Linked DNA regions of Elephas maximus indicus. The protein of the gene in region 3 interacts with the protein of the main gene of each other region in a pairwise test. Links are inferred from orthologs where the notes say so. Each region holds a gene or a part of one and is shown on either strand. Other genes may lie near its edges.

Region 1 (8,083 bases), on a different chromosome or scaffold from region 3:
ATGAGTGACCTCCTAGACATCTTGGCCCATCACTGCCCAGACCAAGAGATAAGTTTCAGTTCAGGGTCTGGGAAAAGCATCTCTTACCCACACAAATAATGTCAGAAAAGACTGCTCACTCTCCAGGTAAGACTCTGCGCCTACCAAAGGCATGCAGTGTCACCTTTAAAGCCCTTAACTATAAACAACCATACCATACATATAGCAAGAAGCAGCTGCTTCCTGCAGGCGCTGTCAAGAAAGGGGGCACAGGGATAGTGTCAAACACCTTTATAGGGAAAGCTCCTACCTGAAGGTTCTTGTCTTCCCTTCAAGGAGGAGGACCTTTTTAAATAAAGGGAGAATTTAAAGCATTTCAGTGCATTTCTAATACTATACTTAACAGAATATATTAAGATTACCTTTAACTCTTTTTTAGGGGGAGGTATATGTTAGACTGTGAGTTCCTTGAGGGCAGGACTCAGTCTAGTCACTTATTTTTGTGACCCCAGAACTCAACACGATGCCTGATGCACAGTAATCATTCAACACACGTTTGCTGAATGAACAGTGAAAAAGGTATAGCAAAAAAAAAAAAAAAAACACAAAGGTGATAAAAAAAAAAAATCTGACTGAATCAGAGAGATGAAAAAATAAGTACACTGTAAAACAACACTCAGGTCAAATAATGACTTGCTTTAATTACAACTATTCCAAATTAAAAGAAGCCTGAAGATCTGAAAAATGTAACATATTTCTCTTCTATGAAAAACGCTTGAGGCCAGTTTGAACATCTTAGTATTTCATTCCACTTTTTCTATTAATTCCATTCTTTTTTGTCTAAAAGAAGTTATAGGTGAAGCCTCAATCAAACTTGCTTTTTCAGATACTGAATTCAGTCATACTTGCGCTAACAAACACTTGGAGCTTTTGTTGATGGTACTCTCCACGAAATAACCTATATATTAAAACAGCAGTGGTTTTTATACGGACAGCAGTACCTCAGTTACCGCACCAGTACTAAGCTGCGTTCCACTAAACTATGCAGGGACACAGAAGCCACAAGGGGAACAGGTAGACCTCCTCAGGCTACTTCTCCCAGAGAAGTTTTCTATTAGAAAACAATCAGCTTCTAGGAAAGAGCGCCACAGCTTTTTGTTTTAAAATAATTTTCAACTCTATTTTGCCCTTTCCACTGCTGTATTAAGATAAAATGAAAATCCTTACAATAGCAATAAAATGCACAGGTTTCACAAAATGTACAGGTGTTCCAAATGCAGAGCCTGTGCTCCTCAACGTTATGCTTCCTAGATTGGCACCAGTCAACTAACTGTGTTCAAATCTCAAGAAAAAAAGGTGAATGAAATACAGGAATGCATATTTGAAGATTATCTAAGGGTCAAGGTGTAATTATAAATATTCTTAATTCTATCAGAACAGAAGGGACCTACACATCTTATTTGAATCTCATATATTTGACTTTTGAATGTGTTTGGGGATCACATCATATGCCAAACTAGAGAACTCTCAACAGTCTCCCCGTAATTTGAAATTATGACTATGAAGCAGGTGGGTTACTGCTATGATGTGTTTATTCTGTGACTCGGGCCATTTTCTATCATACTTTTTCATTTCACCAAAACCTAAAGCTCTACCTAGCATTCTGTTAACTAAGAAAAAAAATTTTTTTTTTTAACTACTGCCCCCAAAATGTTTTCTTTACCATTCTTTTTTTTTATTCTTACCGTAACACCAAAGATAAGGTCCTATTTCCAGTCCATCTTTTTCTCATTCCAAGTCAATAAAAGACCAGTGTTCTTACGACCAGAACAAATAAAGTATCAGTTGTTTTGAACCGTTTTGAGACCCTAAGATTGGTATTTACCTTTTCAGATTGTAAGACAAGACATCTCCTAGCACCTGCGTCAACATCATCGGAGAATAGGGAGTAACGCCTCCAGCAATTGTAAATAAATCGTGAAGCTGCCCTATCAGGGCTTGCCTCCATTTGTACATTAGCAAAGTGAGTTCTTCCTAATAAATGGGGGCAAGTCGAGATCTCTAGTGTTGGGCTGTCTTATCGATGGTTGCACCATCTCCTTAAAAGAAGGGGTTGGGAGAAATAGATAGGGGTTTCACTAGGTCTGGAGCAAGCAAGAAGTTTGTATCATCACTCCACAATTGCTTAATTAGTCCCGCCTCCGGCCAACCGGTGACTCTTCCTTATTCCTGCGCTTGGCGAGGGGAACGGCTCTTTTTCGGGGTCCTCAACCTCAGGCTGGAGCCCTGGTAGCGCAGTGGTTAAGCATTCGGCTGCTAACCAAAAGCTCAGCAGTTCGAAGCCACCAGTCGCTCCTTGGAAACCCTATAAGGAAATTCTACTCTGTCCTGTAGAATTGCTATGAGTCGGAATCGACTAGACGGCGAAGGGGGAGGGGGGCAAACTCAGGTAGGCAGAGGACAAGCCCCAGGCAGCTGGCGATGAGCCAAGGCTGCCCCCCAAAAAACTCGGGCTCCGAGGCTGCGGCGGCGGCAGCGCCGCCCCTTACCTCCCTTCGCTGGTCTGCCCAGTCCCTAGAGTCGCCCCCGCCCACTTTGTAGCTGGACAAACTGCAGTCCGAAGCCCGGGCCCAGCACTCACCCACGTCTTGTTCGAAAGGGTTGGCAGTGAACAGAGGCATCTCGCCGACGCCCGAGCGCTAGCCGCAACGGTCCAGCTGAAGCTTGGCAGGGGCTCCCCGCTCGCTGACCCGGGGCCGCGGCTTCCTAGACTGCTCCGCTGGGGCCGCCGTCCCAGCACTTCCGCCACCACACCTGCCCTGCTCCCGCCTGACAGACCTGCTGCTCTTCCGCACTTGGCGCCGGGATCCCCTCCTGAGGTGAGGCGCCGCTGGCCGCAGGCATCTTTTCAGTGCCCCTGTTGTCGCCACCCACCATGAGAAATGGCAACTCCTGATTTACGGTTTCCTAGGGGTCAGGCGGTCGCCATAGCCACCCCTCCATAGTTAGGACCCGGGCGAGCCACGGAGCGGGGGACCTTCAGGGCCGGAAGTTGTCTCTCCTGGAACTGGGCGATGCCAGAGGCCCGGAAGCTGCAGTTCCGGCGGCGGCGCGGCAGGGGGCGAGATCCCCCGAGATTTTCTGCGCGGGAATCAGGCTCTGAAAACCGCGTTCCTTACCTTAGTTTGAGGCCTGGTGATTCAGTGCTTAAGAGTTCGGTTGCTGACCGAAAGGTTGGCGATTTGAACCCATCAGCCACTCTACGGTAGAAAAATGTGGCAGTCTGCTTCTGTAAGATTGTGGGTTTGGTTTGGGGGGTCCGTTTAGTTTAGTTCGTTCCTGGGCGGCGGGATTAGTCCCTCACGGCGGTGGCCCCATGGCTGCGTTTGCGCTGCTTTCCAAATGGAGCCGCCAGCAAAGAGGTAGCTTTGAGATTCTGCGGAGGGCCTGGCTTGCTCTCGGCCTCTTACAGCGTTGCATCTCACTCTGCGCCTGAACCCTGCCGTAATAACCGCCACGGGAATCGAAATAACTGTGGTTCTGTGGGGACTCCTAACTTCACTTTACGTCATGTTCTCAGCATGAAAACACTGTGCTCAGCTCTGGCACTACCAAAACGAAATGCGGCACAATCCCTGCCTTCGAGTTGCTGACAGTTACTATATGACAATATATGACGATCCTGATAGATAAAAGAAAGGGTCACACTGAAATTTCCTTTAGGAGCCAACCAGGTATTTAAATGAATGTAGAAGTACAAGCACCCGTTCTGGTTAGTTTCCATTCCCCGTTGTACAGGTAATCTGATAAATGTCGGCGGATACCTTTTGGAAAGGATTGGAGGAATATAGTAGCTGGGGCGCCCTGATGGTGCAGTGGTTAAGAGCCGGGCTGCTAACCAAAAGGACGGTAGTTCAAATCCACCAGCTGCTCCTTGGAAACCCTGTGGGGCAGTTCTGCCCTGTCCTACAGGGTCACTAGGAGTCAGAATCCCCTGGATGGCAATGGATTTTATTTGATTTATACTTGCTGTGGCATTACAGGATTTTTTCTCAAGGGGATCCAGCCTCCTGTTCAAATATTGGGCCCTGGGTCAGAGAGCTAGCTCAGGTTTGGGTGGCTAAGAAATTTTGTATTTTCCATTGTGGCAGTTAACATATGGCACCCATTCTTGTCTTTATTTTTTCCCTTGTTGGGTTGTGGGAGGAGGTAATCATCAAGCAATACCCACACTGGCTGCTGTCTATTTAACATCAGGAACACTGTGGCTTATTAATCATCCATAGACTCTTACGGGTCAGGGCCCCCTAGTTGCCATTCAGGCTTTGCTGTAACTTACTGTTATGTCCATTTTGCCTCTGATGGTAGTTTTGCCACCCAGCCTCTGTGATTCTGGTACCTTATCATGCAGCTAAGTAGCAGCCAACTCAACCCTCAACCCCGACCTACAAAGAACAGCTACCGTTGAGCTTAATAATGCCAGTGCTCCACTTATACCTCATAGCAACCTTATGAACAACAGAACAAAAAACTGCCTGGTCTTGAGCCATCCTCACAATCGTTGCTGTGTTTGAGCCCATTGTTGCAGCCATTATGTCAGTCCATCTCATTGAAGATCTTCCTCTTTTCAGTGACCCTCTACTTTACCAAGCATGATGTCCTTCTCCAAGGACTGGTCCGTCTTGATAACATGTCCAAAGTATGTGAGACAACGTGTCAACATCCTCGCTTCTAAAAATCATTCTAGCTGTACTTTTTGCAAGACAGATTTGATTATTCTTCAGTATTTTTCGCTAACACCATAATTCAAAGGCATCAATTCTTTGGTCTTTCATATTTGTTGTCCAACTTTTGCATGAATATGAGGCGATTGTAAGGGGTCAGGTGCTTGTCCTTGTCTTAGTTATCTAGTACTGCTCTAACAGAAAAACAAGTGGATGTTTTTAACAAAGAGAAATTTATTCTCTCAAAGTCTGGTAGGCTACAAGTCCAAATTCAGGGCATCACCTCCAGGGGAAGACTTTCTCTGTAGGCTCTGGAAGAAGATCCCTGTCATCACTCTTCCCTTGGTCTAGGAGCTTCTCTGCACAGGAACCTCAGGTCCAAGGGACACGCTCTGCTCCTGGTGCTGCTTCCTTGGTTGTATGAGGTCCCCCGTCTCTGCTCACCTCTGTCTTTTATATCTCAAAAGAGATTGGCTTAAGACACTATCTAATCTCGTAGATCTCATCAATATAACTGCCACTAATCCATCTCATTACATCTTAGTCATAGGAATAACAACACATAGCGAAATCACATCAGATGACAAAATGGTAGACAATCATATAATACTGGAAATCATGACCTAGCCAAGTTGACAGATATTTTTGGAGGACACGGTTCAATCCATGACAGCCTTCAAAGTGACATCTTTGCTTTTTAGCACATTAAAGAGGTCTTTTGCAGCAGATTTGCCCAATGTAATGTGTCATTTGATTTCTTGACTGCTGCTTCCATGGGCATTGATTGTGGATCCAAGTAAAATGAAATTCTTGACAACTTCAATATTTTCTCTGTTTGTCATGGTGCTGCTTATTGGTCCAGTTGTGAGGATTTTTGTTTTATGTTCAGGTGTGGATCCATACTGAAAACTATAGCCTTTGATGTTCCTCAGTAAGTGCTTCTCAAATTGTCTTTGCTTTCAGCAAGCAAGGTTGAGTCATCTACGTATGATAGGCTGTTAACGAGTCTTCCTCCAGTCCTGGTGCCAAGTTCTTCATATAGTAGTCCAGTTTCTTGGAATATTTGCACAGCCCTGACATGCACCTTTCCTGGCTTTAAAACATGCAGTATCCCTTTGTTCTGTTCAAACAACTGCCTCTTGATCTATGCACAGTTTCTCATGAGAACAACTAAGTGTTCTGGAATTCCGGTTCGTCACAATGTTATCCATAACTTGTTATGATCCACATTTGAGTGCCTTTGCATAGTCAATAAAACCTTGGTAAACATCTTTCTGGTATGGTCTGCTTTCAGCTGGAATCCATCTGACTTCAGCAATGATATTCCTCATTTTACACCTCTTCTGAATCCAGCCTGAATTTCTGGCAGTTCCCTGTGGATGTATTGCTGCAACCGTTTTTTAATTATCTTCAGCAAAATTGTACTTGCCCGTGATATTAAATATTGTGCGATATTTTCTGCCTTCTGTTGGATCACCTTCCTTTGGAATGGGAGCAAATGTGGATCTCTTCCAGTTGTTTGGCCGGATAGCTATGTTCAAAATTTCTTGGCATAGACCAGTGGACACCTCTAGTGCTGCATCTGTTTGTTGAAACATCTCAATTGATATTCCATCAGTTTCTGGAGCCTTGTTTTTTGCCGGTGCCTTCAGTGTAGCTTGGACTTCTTCCTTGACTACCATCAATTCTTGAACATATGCTACCTCCTGAAATGGTCGAACATTGACCAATTCTTTTTGCTACAGGGGATCTGTGTATTCTTTCTGTTTGCTTTTGATATTTCCTGTGTCATTCAATATTTTCCCCATAGAATTCTTAAGTATTGCAACTCGAGGCTTGAAATTTTTCCTCACTTCTTTCAGCTTGAGAAATGCTGAGCGTGTTCTTCCCTTTTGGTTTTCTAACTCCAGGTCTTTGCACATTTGATTATATTATTTTACTTTGCCTTTTGTCTACCCTTTGAAATCTTCTGTTCAGCTCTTTTACTTCATCGTTTCTTCCACTTGGCTTTAGCTACTCTCCATTCAAGAGCAAGTTTCAGAGTCTCTTCTGACACTCTTTCTGGTCTTTTTTTTCTTTCCTGTCTTTTTAGTGACCTTTTGCTTTCTTCACGTATGATATCCTTCAGAGCTTTCTGACCCAGAGACTCTCCACCCTGCTGCTGAGAGACACCATGTATATACAGATTCTCCTGTCCTGGGGGTTCCCTGGAAACCCTGTTGGCGTAGTGGTTAAGTGCTATGGCTGCTAACCAAAATATTGGCCTTTTGAATCCACCAGGTACTCCTTGGAAACTCTATGGGGCAGTTCTACTCTGTCCTGTAGGGTCACTATGAGTCAGAATTGACTCAAAGGCAATGGGTTTGGCTTTTTGGTTTGGGAAGTTCCCATATCCTCTTCCTCTCCTGGGTGGCCCCCACACCACTTGCCTTTGGAAGGCCTCATGCTGTAAGGGACTTCCCCCCACATACAGACTTTTCATTTGTGCCCCAACATTCGCTGTCATTTTCTCTCTTTTCTGTCAGAGGCACCACAACGTTTTTGGCCAAAGTAAACACCTTGGATAAAGTTCTCACTCTGCTGCTATTTTTCCAATTTTCAACCTAATTTTTTCACGTTTTTCGTCAAGCTTTCTTTTTGCTGTTTCTTTTTCCCTCCTCTTTGGCACGGCCTTCATTATACCCCAGGGTCTCATTTCTTCCAAGGCTTTCATTTCTTCCCCTTAAATAAGAGTGCCCATGTAGGAGTAAGAAGGGCCTGAGTAAACTTCATGCTCTGTTAGCCAAGTTATGAGTTCAGAGGCCTCATGCCTCCAAGAGAGAGTGCCTTTTTCCAATTGTATTGCCCAAACATATCATATGGGCTACCCTAGGCTGTACACATACAACCAGTTTAATTATCTGGAAACACAACCTTTCCAGTTTCATTCCTTTACCTGAGAACCTACTGGTTTTGCCCGTCACGAAAAGTTCAGGCCCTTGCCTCTGGTAAATTACTAATTTTTCTCTTCTTAGCACTTTTACTTCCCATGGTTTAAACCATCAGTTTTTGGAGGGAGATGAATTTTCAGATTATATCCCTGCTACTGACTGACTATGTGACTTCTAGGGAAATAACCTCTGGGAACCTCAGTTTTCTTATCTGTAAAATGTCTGCTTCATGTGGCATCTGGGGTCTTAAATGCTAACAAGCGGCCATCTAAGATGCATCAATTGGTCTCAACCCACCTGGATCAAAGGAGAATGAAGAACACCAAGGTCACACGATAACTATGAGCCCAAGAGACAGAAAGGGCCACATGAACTAGAGACTTACATCATCCTGAGACCAGAAGAACTAGATGGTGCCCGGCCATAACCGATGACTGCCCTGACAGGGAG
Region 2 (7,090 bases), on a different chromosome or scaffold from region 3:
CCTCTGCCTCTTTGCATAACACAGAGAGGCCTTCCCTGACCATCCTGGGCCTAAGTTGTCCCTCCCCATCCCTATCACCTTACCCTGTTTTATTTCTTCAGAGCATTATCTGGACCATGGGTTCACTTGCCCACCTGCATACTGTCTGTCTCCCTCCACTAGATGTCAATCCATGAGGCCAGGGGCTTTGCTGTATCTGTCTGTTGTGGCCAGATCCCTGGTGCCTGGCACACAGTGAGGCTCCAAAAACGTATACCAAGAGAATGAGTGAACAAATGGGTGAGCTGGTCTCTGACTCCCGCCTGGCCACCTCCAACCCCACGTCCATTGCCAGAGAGGTCTTCCAAGTCAACCGTCTCTTACTTATCAAACATCTCTAATGATTCTCCTTATCTTCAGAATAAAACCCAAACTCCACAGTGTGGCACATTCTGACCCCACCTAATATTTTTCTAGATTCCTCTTCCCTCCCTCCCTGCATCCACACAGGCTGCTGGCCTTTCCCAGAATATCCCACTCTTGACCATGTTTCCAGGTCTTTAAGCATACTGTCCGGAGCTGGGGTGCAGTCTTCCCCAAATCCATCTTACACACTCCTATACATCCTTCAATGCCCAGCTCAAAAGTCCTCCTCATGAAGCCTTCTCCAACACTTCCTACTGGCTTCCTGCTGCGCTCCCAAAGCCCTTGGTCAGGCCTCTTCGTTCATGATCAATAGTCAGGGGCTGCTGTGTGTCTGTCCAGACAACGAGGTCCTAGAGAGGGCAGGGCCCCAGCCTTTGAGGGTGCCTACAAGGGGCTTGTCTGAGACATGAAAGGAGGACCTGTGGTTTGGCTGTCCATGCCTGATACTCACTTATTCATTCAACAAGCATTACCTGCACCCTGCGCAAGGACAAGACCCCTCACTGTCTACAGCCCCTGCCAGTGACAGCCCCAGGCCTGGCCCTCACTCACCCTTCTTCTGCCCTCCCAAGGGGCTTTGTGTCTTCTGACTGGCACCTTGCCTCAAGCTTAGCCAAGGGACTTTGAAGTGGGAAAGGAAAGAAGATGCTATATTTTCCAAAGACATTTTGTTAAACTCCTCTGCCCATCACACACGCACACTCCATCCCATCCATACCACGTGGACTCATACACAAAAGACCGCCACACAGCCCCAGCATGGTGCCTGGTACACAGCAGATGCTCAATAAATGCTTCGTGGGTAGACACAAACAGGCCAACACAGCCTCCACCCCACGTGATCCGAGACTGCTGTGCTGTTGAACGGGTAGCCACTTTATCCACCTCCGAGGAGCCCAAGCCTCCACTGATGGGGCGGCGGGGGGAGCTGGATTAGGTGTCCCTGCTGTGCCTTTGACCCCACCTGCCCTCTGACTTCCAGTCTCCTGAGTTAGGCCAGGTGGGCAGAGTGGTGTCAGAGGCCTTGCTGTGCAGCACACAAGGCAGAAGGTGGGGTCCCAGCTCCTATTGTCCCTGTCACGCTCTCATGAGAGTTCCTCGGTGGCAGCCAGCCTTCAGATCCTGGGTGGCCAAACCCATCATTAGTCCACTTCCCAGCACTTCCTGTGGATGAGGTGAAAACACCTGGGTCCCCTTCCAGGAGCAGCAGAGCCAGGTGACCCCTTTGGCACAGTATGGAAGTAGGAAGCTGGTACCTCCCCAGTGGCAGGCTGGTTTGTCCAGGGCAGCCACCTGTCCACGCCACAACCAGAACATGGCAAGTCATGACCAGGCTGTGACCCAGGTGCCTGTGAACACTCATTTCCAGGACTTTGTTGGCACAGGAAACCCACCAAACCACTGCGACCCTATAGGACAGAGTAGAACTGCCCTGTGAAAAGCCGAATGTAGCTAATTACCTGGGGCCAAGCGTGCCACACACATCATGTGGTCCTCCAGCGGCCCATTATCCAGATGGTCCAAACAGCACTGGGCAGGGAGATGGCTGACCAAAGCCTCTCAGTTACTAAGGGGTGGAGGCGAGCTTTGAACCTCAGGCTGTGTGACCCCAGTCCAGGCTGTCTGCCCTTGTACTGTATAGGTTCCCTGGAGCAGAGGGGCTCAGGGTTGGAGGGTTTTAGGGACCAACTTATCCAGTCCCCTGCAACCTGGCAAGTGGCCTGATGTAACACAGAGAACACTGGACTGGGAGTCCAGAGGCTTGGGTTTAGTTCTAGGTCCATCGCAGTCAGTGCTAGCCCATTCCCCACCTGGGCCTCAGTTTTCCCACTTTTCCACTTTTGGGCCTGGCTCAGAGGGTCTCTGGGGTCCTTTGTGCTCCAACGGGATCTGAGTCTAGTCTTTGCTTCACCTGGAACCCTAACTCAGTGTCTCAAAACTTGAGGCAGCCTCTCCACGTGGGCCCCAACCCCCAGCGAATGTGCAGCCGCTCAGGGAACAGGCAAGCCGGCCACCAGTGCAAGCCCTAGGTCCACCCTCGGGGGGGCGGGCCTGGGAGGGGTTCTGGCGGCTGAGCCATGGGGTGTGTGGGGTCGTGGGCTGTCGGATGGGGGACTACATACAGAAGAGGAGGCGATCCCTAGCCCTGGAGTCCCCTGCCCCCGCTCCGCCGAGGCGCCTACCTTGTGCTATGAGAACGACACCTTCGGGGTCACCCGGGACGGACCCGCTGAGGGTGGGGGTCCTCGGGGCCGGGCTGGCTCCCCTTCACTGGGCCTCCGCAGTGGACAACGGGGCGCGTCCGAGGAAGGACGGGGTCCCCCGGCATCCGCCTGGACTCTGTACCCCCGGGGGTCCGAACGTCGCGAGGACGACGTGGGGGCTGAGCCTCGCGCTGGTACCCAGTCCCGCAAGTGCACATGCGCCCGGGTGGCGACCCCGCCCCCCGAGCCCCCTCCCCAACCCCCCTTCCCCCTTTTCCCCCAAGACCACTGACCATAGTGACAGGAGCCAGGTCCCGCCCCAGCGAGGAGCGATCCGGTGCGGGAGGGCGCGGCGGAGGCACTAGCCAGCTCCACGGTTGGGTCGGGCGACAGGGCCTGGAGCGCGAGGGGGGGTGTGCGGAGAATACACCCGACCGCCCCGCAAACCAGAGGGTAGACCTCCACTGTGTCCCAGCAAGACACACGCCCCGCGATTGACGTCTGAAGCGGGCAATCAGAAACCGGGGCTCAGGACGTCACAGAAAGTGGGTGGGACTTCACGTTTCTTCAGCCTATGCTTTATGGCTCATTTGACAGGATCCCTCCCCCTTTTAAACACACAGAAAGCTTTTAACTAGCAAAGGAGTTCGCCCAACCTAGAAAGACAGGTCTTCGGTTGTAAAGGCTGAAGGACTTTTGACAAAAACTGCGAAGTGAGGTCTTCTGAAAGATGAGCTGGCCCTCATAAATTCATAAACAATGTCACATAAGTATAGTTTGCTCAAGATCAGAGGACAAGGCACGAGGAAACACGTGTCCAATAACATTAAGTTAACCACCTGTCCCTGTGTAGCTTCTAAATAATAGCTCCCCTTCTTCCAGCTCATGAATTAGTAGGTTTCCAGGCATCCAATTACAACTTGTTGAATGAATGAATTTCCCGGCTGGTTGACTTTGTGGTTCTGGTATTGTATGGATGTATATGGGGCACAGGCGGTGAACCGGGTCTGGGTGACTCAGGCTGCGGACAAGCTCATTACTACCAGACTCCAAACGTGTTTATCATCCAAAGATGCGTTCACCAACCCCTGGCCTCTGGAGGGGTCTGCTTCGTGTGGAGGCTCCAGCGCGTGGTGTACACCCGTTTTACGAGCATGAATACTCCCTTGAGTGTTCACCGAGTCGTCCACTTCCACACGCCCTACTCCCAGCCCCAGGCACCAGAGTAGGTTCTTAGGTAGACAAACACCTGTGGCTTCAAGTGTTTGTCATTTACTTGGGGGAGGGGAGGAAAGGAGGCCAACCGAGGCTCAAGAAACAATAATGATAACCGCAGCAGTGGACTCATACCTACCACGGACCAAACAATAGCCAACTTTTATTGAGCACTTACTACGTGTCAGGGAGCGCCCTAAGTGTTAAACCGTGTATTATCCTACTTCATTCTCACAGCTAGTTTCTGGGGGTTGTTGTCGTTAGTTGCTGTTGAGTTGATTCCGACTCACGGCAACTCCATGTGTCCAAAGCGGAACCGCTGCATGGGGTTTTCAAGGCTGTGGCCTTTCGGAAGCAGATCGCCAGGCCTTTCTTCTGAGGTGCCTCTGGGTAACTTCGAATTGTTGTCGAGCACTTAACCATTTGTACTTCCACGGTAAGTCTATTATTATCTCTGTTTTACAGATGAGGAAACTGAGGCACAGACAGATTAAGCTCCTTGCCCAAGATCACATAGCATCCAGGTGGGATTCAATCCCAGGCAGCCTGACTCCAGAGCTGGTTTTGAATGTGCTCTGCCAAGGAACCGTGCACAGGACTGTAGGGGCTGTCTACTCCCATGCCCTTGCTTGTTTTGGAGGGTCTCTGCTTTGTTTTTTGCGGCAGAGGAAGCCAAGGCTCAGAGAAGTGACAGGACCGACCCAGCATGTCTCAGCTGGGAAGTGGCCCGGCTGGGTTGTGTCCTGGGACTTCTGATGCCTTGTCCAGTGCTTCCTCCAGACTTGTTTGGGTTCTGTGGGGCTGTCTGGTGGGGGAGTGACTGAGCCAGGTGTGGCCCTTCGGGGTTCATGTGGGGTGCAGGTGAGGAGCCTTGGCTGTGGAGGCCTTTGTCTGGGGTCTGGCCCCTGAGGCCTTTGAGGTCTCTGGGAGGAGGAGGCCGAGTGAGCTGAGGCTTCCAGGCCCCTTGGCGCTGGGCCACACTAAGCCCTGAGACCTCAGCCCCCTGTCCTTCCCAGCGCAGGCCAAGGCAGCTCCAAACCTGCTGTCATTGCTTTGTGGAAGGAACACTGGACTGGAGTCCCCAAGTGGCCTTGGGCTCTGATGGTCCCTGCTGTGTGGCCCCAGGCAACTGCAGGCCTTCTCTGGGCCTCTGGTTCCTCACTCAGTGAGAAGGCTGGACAATCTGGGCAGTTAAAAATTTTTAGCAGCAAAGTCTTTAAAAACAAAAACACAGTCTTATCTAGAATCTCTGTAAATGTGCTCAGTCATTTGAGTTTCAGCAAAGCTCGAATAAAAAAGCTGCCGTCGTTCTGACTCATAGCTACCCTACAGGACAGAATATAACTGCCCCATGGGGTTTCCAAGGAGTGGCTGGTGGATTCGAACTGCCAACCTTTTGGTTAACAGCCGAGCTCTTAACCACTCTGCCAGGGGAAAATGTACTTTATGTAGTCTGTAACAAATCTGGCTTCTTCCTGGCTCTCTAGTTAGGAGAGGACCAGGTCTCCTACGTTGTAAATCGCTTCACTTCCTTGCAGAGTGCCTGCCCCACTGAATATCCACCTGAGTCCTCCAGACTGTCCTTACCCCTTCACATTAGAGCCTAGAACCTTGGTCTGGAAAACTTGTTCCCATACCAGTTAGTGTACTTTGTCACTGCTGGCCAAGGTCAGAAAGGATAAGAGTTAGAGTTAGCCCCCCTTGGAGTCCTGGGTGGCACAGGAGACCAGATCGTCATGCAGGTCAGAGATGAGAGTGGCTGGACTAGGGAGAACTGTGGAGATGGGGAGAAGTGAATGCTTTCCAGGAGCAGGAGGTGACATGGTCAGGACTTGCTGGTGGGCTGGGTGTGGGGTGGCAGGACAGAGAGGGCCTAGGGTGATGGTGAAGTTCCTGCCTGCTCAGCTGGGTGGGTAGGAGAGCCGGATCCCAGACAGTGGGGCCTCGACTAAGTAGACTGAGCAGTGCCAAGAGCCTGTATGAGCCCACCAACAACTGTCCCCCCAAGACTTGAAAATTGGAAGTGTTTAGGGTTTTGTGGTCCCTAGAAATTCTCTGGAACCCTGGAGAACAAAGCGCAGAAGAGCATGGCCTTGGAGCGTGGCCTTGGAGTGGTCGGTAAGAGTTTCCTGAAACTTGAACCCGTGTTTACAGATGATGAAAAATGGCAAGGGGGGGTATAAGTGCTGGGCGCTGGGTGTCTCCTTCAAGGTCCCAGGGGTCCACGGAGCTCTGCCAGGCAGAACCTGTAGTGCAGTGTAAACATGGAGCAGCTTCCGGGGCTATCTATTTTACTCAAGGAAACATGATTTTGGCACTAGAGCAAAGTCTTACAAAATAGAATGCAAATTTGCTTACGTAAAACTTTCAAATGAAACACAAAGTTATTCTGAGTTCCTTGTCAAGCCTGCATACCAGCTCCTAAAGTTCTGAATTCACTCTCCTCTGCCATTAGAGGTATTTGCAGGGTAAGTTCTAGAAGCTTTGATGAGGAAAAGAGCCCCAGCCTCAAGGTCAGCCAGACTTGGGCTCTGCCACCTGTTTGCTCTGTAACCTTGAGCAAGTTACCCCACCTTTCTGAGCCAGGGCATCAATTTTGTCTGTATTTAAAAAAGCTGCCTGTCCTATAGGGTTGCTATGAGTCAGAATCGACGCGAGGGCACTGGGATTTTTTGGGTTTGGGCCTCTCCCAGGAGGACCTCAGGCCGTTGTTCTCTCTGATTGGGTTTTTAATTTTCTCACAATTCTCACTTTTTACTCCTTGCTGAAGGAGGATGAAGATTTGTTCATCTTCTAGATGGCAGCATTTTGCCTAGAATAATTTCTTGTGGGAGACTACAGGAAGTGGAAAAATGAGAATCAATCATTGCAGGAATAAAGGGGGAGCCCCCATCCTGCCGCATCCTGTGAAAGATGTGATAGCAATGTGTCAATGCGTAAATGTCTTTGATCAACTTTTTGAAATATTTTTAAGTGATGTGCTACAACACTTGGTGCAAAAGGCAAAAAAAATGAGAGCCCCCTGAACCTCCTCAGTCAATGCTATGAATATTACCAGGTCTTATTTTCAGCCAGTTCTTCCCAGAACCACCCGCCAGATTTGGTGATAATCTATGTGGCCATTTGTGAATAAACCAGTAACAAACAAAAACTTAATGCATGCATTTATAAAAATAGGGACTTTGTCCTGTTTTTCTGTTCCCTTCGCATCGCACTCATCCCAACTCCACCTGTGAAAGGCTTGTGAACACCTACATTCATCGCAG
Region 3 (7,319 bases):
AGCAGATCCCAGCCGGTCCGCCCGCGCGCCGCCGCCGCCCGCGCGCTATACATACGGCATATGTCGCGCGGCGCTCGCACCCGCGCGCAGCCTAGCTTGCTCAACGGGGGCGGAGTGAGCGCGCGGCGGCGCTTCCGCTTTACACGCCCCAGCCGGTGACCGGTTAGATCTGGCTCGGGCCACCCCGACACCTTTACAGTGAACAGTGGGGAAACTGGAGCGGTTGGGAGGTGGGTGGGGGTTGGTAGGCACCAAGAAACAATAAGGGAGGGGAGAAAGAATACTTGCCAAGGTCCCCCTCCCACCCAGATTTCGGTATTAGAAACGGTTCTGCTCTTGGCCACCCTTTACCATCCCCTCAGGTCAAATCAAGGTAGCTGGTCTGGTGACTAGAGTATGCCGGGAAATACTTTGCTTCAGCTTAGAGGAAAACACTTTTGGCACAAGCCACCTGAGCCCTTCACTCGGAAAACAGGAAAATGGTGTCCTGCTACCCGACCGACCCCACCTCTGAATAGGATTTCCAGCTAAAGTTGCGTTCAGGGCCATTCGGCACCTTAAAGGTCAGCAGAAGCTTCTCCCCTCTTAGTCTGAGGAAGCCTGAATTCATTTTTTTTGGTGCCCCAAGCAAATCGGGGTGATAACATGACGTAACTCGGGCCCGAGGCGCCTCGAAAAGCCCCGGGAGGGACTCGAGCAGGGGAGGAGACGGCCGCCCTGGAGGGACCTTTACCGGCGCACGCCGGTTCCAAGCCTCGCCCCAGAGCCCACTCTCCCCACCCGCCCGCGACCAATCCAATCAGCGCCTAGCATCGCCTTAGCAACAGGCTAACAAACCCGGCTCTGCCTATCGCGGGCCGCCCGAGGCGGGGTCTCAGTTACCAGGCTAGTTTGAGAGGTCCCAGTTTTTAAGTCATTGAAACTATTCCAGGCTAAGCGCTCGTCCACGCTTTGCAGGGGTTAGGGGCATCTCATGGGTTGCGGGACAGTTTCTTTACCATGAAATCACAGAGCAACTAATGAAACTGTATCTGTCCCCACACTCATTGTTCTACTTTCCCCTATTCCAAGTCTCAACTCCTTAAAGAAAAACCTTTGTTTCTTCCCATCCATTTTATGAAAGGCTGCAATCTCCTGAAAGGTTCACACACACGAACTCCTGTGTCTGCGCTTTTCAGCAAATACCAGAACTGTCATTAGATATTTGCATTTTGTATCAGAATTAATACTTGGAGAGATTAATCAGCAATTATTTAAGGATGCAAGTTGCCTGTGTACAATAATGAAAACCCTATTAAAAGGACTTCATAATATTTTCTAAATAATATATTAATACGGTAACTCAAATCCTTCATTTCTATACTTGCCTTAGTTCAATTAGCACTTCGCCAGGGATGTATATTTTTTAAATAAAAAAGGCAAAACTGTACTTCTATTTCTAAAAAAATCGTCATTTGAACTAAATGCTGCATTAAAAAGGAGAAGCACAAAATTACATAACCAGTTTTAACATTATATTCTTCTTAGGCTAGGAATTAAGTCATCGCCACCACCTGACGCGTGTAACCAATCTGCTGAGAGCAGAACAAGCGCCCCTCCTCACCACCCCCCAGAACTGGTCCCAAACAGGATTGAACCGCTTCTAACAAAGGGTGGAAACTTAGAAAAACAAGCTTAGAGTCTCTTATATTTTCACAATGTAACCATTTAAACAATAGATTGGAAATCTCAGGACCCCTTTTCCCTTTGAGAACCCTTTATCTCCCTTTTCAAACCAAAAATCAAATGCGATGTGCCGAATACTTTTCAATTCCATTTGACTGGCATGGGTTTCATTGAATGCATGTTCCAAAGTTACACATGATGCTCGGAAAAGAAAATTACTGACCCCAAATGGCTTCTAAAACTGACTTGAAGCCTATCATAATGATAGATATTGTACTTTAAAATAAAGCGTGCTTGATGTAAATGTCTAAAAGAACTGGAAAAATAGGGGAAAAACACATGGGGGTGTTAATACCATATGTCAAAATAAGCCATGGGAAACCCTTTATCAAAGAACAATGATCAATCCTTAAAGTCTTCTGCGTGTCACTATTAAAAATGAAATACACTTATTACCCATTTAAAAATATTCTATTTCTTCACTGAAACTCAGTTTTAGAGCTAAGGCTGTAAAGTTAAAAAAAAAAAAACTAATATTGGGCTGTAGCTTTTAGCAATTCATTTGAAAACATATTAGTAAAATTACTGAATCGGATTTAAGCAGAATTTATAAGTAAGGTGCAAATGGATTCCAAGTGCGTACTAGAGGTAGCTGAATAAGTGCAGTTTGCAGTACTTTGCAGATGCCTGCATGCATTACGGCTAATACACGATGAATGTCAAGGAGAATCCAAATACTCCAACTTTGCTAGCCTTTATCAAACTATGTGTTACGCTAGAAATAGACATATTAATTCGGAAAAAAAATACCTTCCCAAAGAAAACAGGTCTAAAAACTACTGAAAAATATAAAAACTTACCTCTTTCGTGTCCAATTAAGATGTCTTTATGGTTGAAATATTCTACTTCTTCAGTGTAATTCTGTGTATAGGCAGTATTGGAGCCGGCGTTTCTAGATTCAGTCCAGCGTACTTTCGCATGTCCTCTTGCATGAATTTTAAGAGATTTTACTCTGATTTCCCCAGTAACTTCTAAATTCACCCTTCCTGAGACTGTATCCCCACTAGAATACACAGGGACATTGCTGTCATTAAGACAGTCAAAGCTTATTGTCAAACTCTTAACCTTTCCCAGCACCATGTTTATAACAAAATCTATAAAAATATAATGTAAGAAAAAAAAAGTCAAGAGCGCATATAAAATGCGATCTTCACTGAACACTGATCGATGTCTTTGCCATGCAAAAAGCTTGCAGGCAGGATCAGCGATTCTTTACAAATAGTTCATTGAGATTTCTTAAAAAGCAGGGCAGCAGGGAGGCTGCCGCTCCGCACTCCTGCTCGTCTCAGCGGTCTTGGTACAAAGACGGGCGGCTGAAGCCTGCTAGCTCACTTTAAGAGCAGCTTTGTGGAAAAACAACCCCAGTGCGCATGCGCACGCCGCGGCTGCTGTCCGCCCTCCTTGCACGTCCCCTCCCGCTCCGGGCTCGCTCCCTCGTTCGCTGGCTCGCTTGTGGGTACAGTAGGTGTCGAGCTAGGGGAAGGAGATACTGGGGCTGCCGAGAGGCTGAACCTGACTTGTCTTCATTGAGGGCTCCTATTGGTAGGCAGGCTACCGTAAACTCTCGACGTGGTATCTCTATCTCCTTACCGAGCACACGCTGATAGAAAGATAATGGCAAGAGGGGGCGGTTAGGGAACGAGGACTGGGTGGGTTGCTGTTTGCAAAGCTATGTGGATAAACTGCTGAGTGACCAGCCCAAAGCGTGGGTTACTGGCACTGCAGGGTTTTGCCAGCTGCCTGGATGGGAGGAGGAAAAAGTGATGTGTGAAGGGAGGTGGAGGAAGGGGTGAAACCGGTTGGGCAAACGGGTGGTTACCGAGCATAATCTAACGAATTTCAAAAGAAAACGTAATAAAAACAGACAAGAATTATTGTTCACAGACAAGAGCATTATTGGCTTGGAGGTTTTTTTCTTTTTTTAACCGGTACTTTGTAGGTAGGGTGGAAATGAACTCAGTCGAGGCCAAAAGGAATCTTAAAAGACAATAACTCCTAAGGATCAAGGAAGAGAAGGAAATATAATTTAGTCAATAGTCTGCTTTCTCCTCTGTCTCCTAATTAGATTAAAAAAAAAAAAAATAGCAACGAAAAATAACCAAGTTGTTTCCAGGATGACACCAGGGAGGGAAAGGCTTGACCACTTCCTTGAAGGAAAAAAAGTCTTTTTTTAAGACACCACCTACGACTACATTTGCAGGGTAGGACATGATTGCTACTCCCGTGTCCAGAGGAGTAATAATAGAATTTGGCCTAAAACAGGCCTAAAAAGGCAGCATGACATAGTGGTTTAGCTGACATATTGTTTACAGCAGGATAGAATAATCTTAGTTAGAAATTAGGGTAGCACATAAGATGACTGTTCTGAAGGCATGATTTAGTATTTAAATGGGGCTTAATTCTGTAAAGCTTTCATCTTAATTTTCAACTGATAGCCTTGGACCGTTCAACATAGTAATTTTTGTATCTTAAATCTAGGTAAATTTTCCCCTTTTTATTGTGAATTTCTTGGTACAAAAATAACAGTACTTTCATAAAATCACACTGGGTTTCAAAGCATAACAGCATTAATTCATCTAGACTATCAGCAATCAAGAGAACTGCTTATAATAAATATAGATAAAATATGAATCTGAAACTGTATATACATGAGCAAATATACTTTGGAAGATTTTTGGCTGTCACGTCTAAACATTTTATTTTGTGAATTATGTTTGGATAGGTTGACCCAATGAGTCACCATAAACCAAACTCACTGGTCTTGCCCTTTTTTTTTCTGAATACTTTTAATTAGTTGGGTTTTAGTTAACAAGGCATTATCTTGAACTGAACAGCATTATATATAGCGTACAGATTTGGACAGTTAATAGGCAGACCATTGATCTCTGATAGAGTTTAGATCCTTTTGCTTAAAATTATGAATTTGTGTCTTCATTTTTCCTCTTGGTTGACACCTGGTGGAAGGAAGTTCTAGTTAAAGTACTTGGGACCCTGTACTAGCTTTGATAACATATGCTGCTTGTGTTTTCTCGCCATCTAGTGGTAAATTCGTTGAATTTGCCAAAGTGTCAGTTTTTCCTCATCAAGATCAAATGGTATTAGTTAAGTGTTCAAATGACACTGAGCAAAGAACTGGATGTAAAAGTACTGTACACAATGAGGAGGCCCTCATTACTAAATTTGTGTTTTAATTACTGAGAGCTAGTGAACAATGGCTGAATTCTTCAGGATTTTTTAGTAAAATTTCTTTGGTTAGAGTATAACATTTCTGAAACACTAAGACTCAGCTAGTTAAATAAACTAGAATTACATCTAACAAATGGAACCCTAAGAAATTTACTTGTTTGGAAAGTTATTTCAACACAATAAATGATTATAATTTATTCCTATCATTGTATTTTACGCTATTCCTTCTGTTCGATGCCTTTTAAAAAAATTTATAAATCATTGTCTTTGTTATTTACCTTACTATTTTTCTTTTTATTTTGCCTTCTTAAACACTTTAGTAACCAACAAGTTACCAAAAGTTCTTATCCCCTATCATTTTTAGCATGCAAAGGCTGGACGATGAATAAGGAAGACTGAAGAAGAATTGACCGCTTTGAATTGTGGTGTTGGTGAAGAACATTGAATATACCATGGACTGCCAAAAGAAGGAACAAATCTGTCTTAGAAAAAGTACAACCAGAATGCTCCTTAGAAGCAAGGATGGCAATACCACATCTCATACTTTGGACATGGTATCAGGAGAGATCAATCTTTGGAGAAGGACATCATGCTTGGTAAAGTAGGGTCAGCGAAAAAGAGGAAGACCCTCAACAAGATAGATTGACACAGTGCCTGCAACACAGACTCAAGCATAACAATGATCTTGAGAATGGTGCAGGACCAGGCAGTGTTTCGTGCTGTTGTACATCGGGTCTCTATGAGTCGGAATCAGCTCGACGGTGCCTAACAGCAACAACATCATTTTTACTTAAGATCCCATCCACTTACCCAGGTTATCACCTTTCTTCTCTTTGGATTTGGCTACGTGACTATTTGTCAAGTATCTAAACTTGAGTTTATCTGATTCATTTTGTTTTCCTCCTATGCAAACAATGAAAACACTGGAAAATTCAGCTGCTTAAAAACCAAACCAAAACAAAACTCTGGCATCTCTGAAGCCCTGCTTATCTTTTCACTTCTAAAAGAAAAAAATATCACTTGGACCAAATCGTGAGTGTATTCGCTCATGAGTTTCATAACCTCCCTCTTTCAAGACCAAACCGAACCCAGTGCCGTCGAGTCGATTCCGACTTGTAGTGACCCTGTAGGACAGAGTAGAACTGCCCCATAGAGTTTCCAAGGAGCACCTGGCAGATTCAAACTGCCGACCCTTTGGTTAGCAGCCGTAGCACTTAACTACTACGCCACCAGGGTTTCCCCTTTCAAGACATCCTGTCTAAATATCCACCCTTGAGACAGCTTGAAATATTGTCTTAAAACCATTATCTTGGGCTTCTCAGCCTGCTTCGCTGGCCCTAGTTGTATTTTGCATTAATCTATTCATCTTTACCACCAAGGCGCTTTCGTATTGTGTCCCAGCCTTCGTTTCTTGTCATTTCCGCCTACTCATCTGCCGACTCTATACTCCTGTCAAGTACATCTTCTGTCCCCTTTGATAGTTTGTCCCACTGCTGCTGATGTGCAGTTACATGCTGCTTTCTGTGTGCCCCAGAACAACATCCCCCCTACTATATTCTTTCTTTTCTTCTAGCCCATTCACTGGATTCAGTTGGCACAACTGAATAAAATTTGAGCTAGACAGAATAACTAGCTTCTCTGCCCCTTTTTATATCTTCTTCAGAGTTGGGAATCTTTTATTATTTTTTTTTTTGTTTTTGGATTTTGAATTAAATGACTGTTCCACCTTAATGTATATAAGTTTGTCCTCAACCCCAAGAATGCCATCAAAAATTGATAAATGATAACTTCTATCAAGGTATATGATATTGAGGAGATATGTCAAAATTACTGCGAAGTCTGGAGTTTTTGAAATAAAATTATGTTAAAATGCTCAAAATCACTATAGGAAGAAAAAAAAAAGCAGGCCATCTCAGTTGAAAGCTTTAGTATAAAAGCTCATTTTCTGTGTGGTTGTAAGAAACCATACCAGTAATCGGAGCCTGTTTCCTAAAGAAAAATATGAAATCCATGCTTAAGTCTTATTTTTACTGGCATCTTGACAGGTTTGAGTGCTTTAGAACCAAGGGAGGTTTTTTTGTTTGTTTGTTTTTTTAAGCCTTAATTCGATATTTTAAAATTTCGTAACTGCACCACCAGGGCTCCTTTAACCCATGAGTGTGCTCAAAATGCACCACAGTTGACTTTGTTGTGGAGACTGGAGGGAGGATTTAAAATTAATTCCTGGCTGTTGCTTAAAACCTTCAGTTAACACTCTGTGAGAATACGTCAGCATCAAAATCTGTAGGCAAAGTGACAGCAAGCTAGAAGAAAATCTTGAAGACGTTAGAGTTGAAAAATGTTGTACACAACACTCGACACAGAAGCTGATACTACGTAAAAATATTCTACGTGAAAAAAACTGTAAT

Evidence for each region.
Region 1: the proteins of ARRDC3 (region 3) and STAM2 interact in binary tests that used the Homo sapiens proteins (3 or more experiments, as listed by UniProt). The two-hybrid records come from large-scale screens. The link is inferred for Elephas maximus indicus from reciprocal best matches to the Homo sapiens genes ARRDC3 and STAM2.
Region 2: the proteins of ARRDC3 (region 3) and OTUB2 interact in binary tests that used the Homo sapiens proteins (3 or more experiments, as listed by UniProt). The two-hybrid records come from large-scale screens. The link is inferred for Elephas maximus indicus from reciprocal best matches to the Homo sapiens genes ARRDC3 and OTUB2.

The regions. Positions count from the first base shown.
Region 1 is NC_064824.1:49,378,235-49,386,317, forward strand, and holds the start of STAM2 (signal transducing adapter molecule 2), read right to left. Parts: upstream 3,013-8,083; 5' UTR 2,661-3,012; coding exon 2,621-2,660; intron 1-2,620.
Region 2 is NC_064828.1:107,602,165-107,609,254, reverse strand, and holds the start of OTUB2 (ubiquitin thioesterase OTUB2), read right to left. Parts: upstream 3,097-7,090; 5' UTR 2,906-3,096; coding exon 2,903-2,905; intron 1-2,902. UniProt on the Homo sapiens protein: Hydrolase that can remove conjugated ubiquitin from proteins in vitro and may therefore play an important regulatory role at the level of protein turnover by preventing degradation.
Region 3 is NC_064820.1:98,106,536-98,113,854, forward strand, and holds the start of ARRDC3 (arrestin domain-containing protein 3), read right to left. Parts: upstream 3,046-7,319; 5' UTR 2,806-3,045; coding exon 2,526-2,805; intron 1-2,525. UniProt on the Homo sapiens protein: Adapter protein that plays a role in regulating cell-surface expression of adrenergic receptors and probably also other G protein-coupled receptors.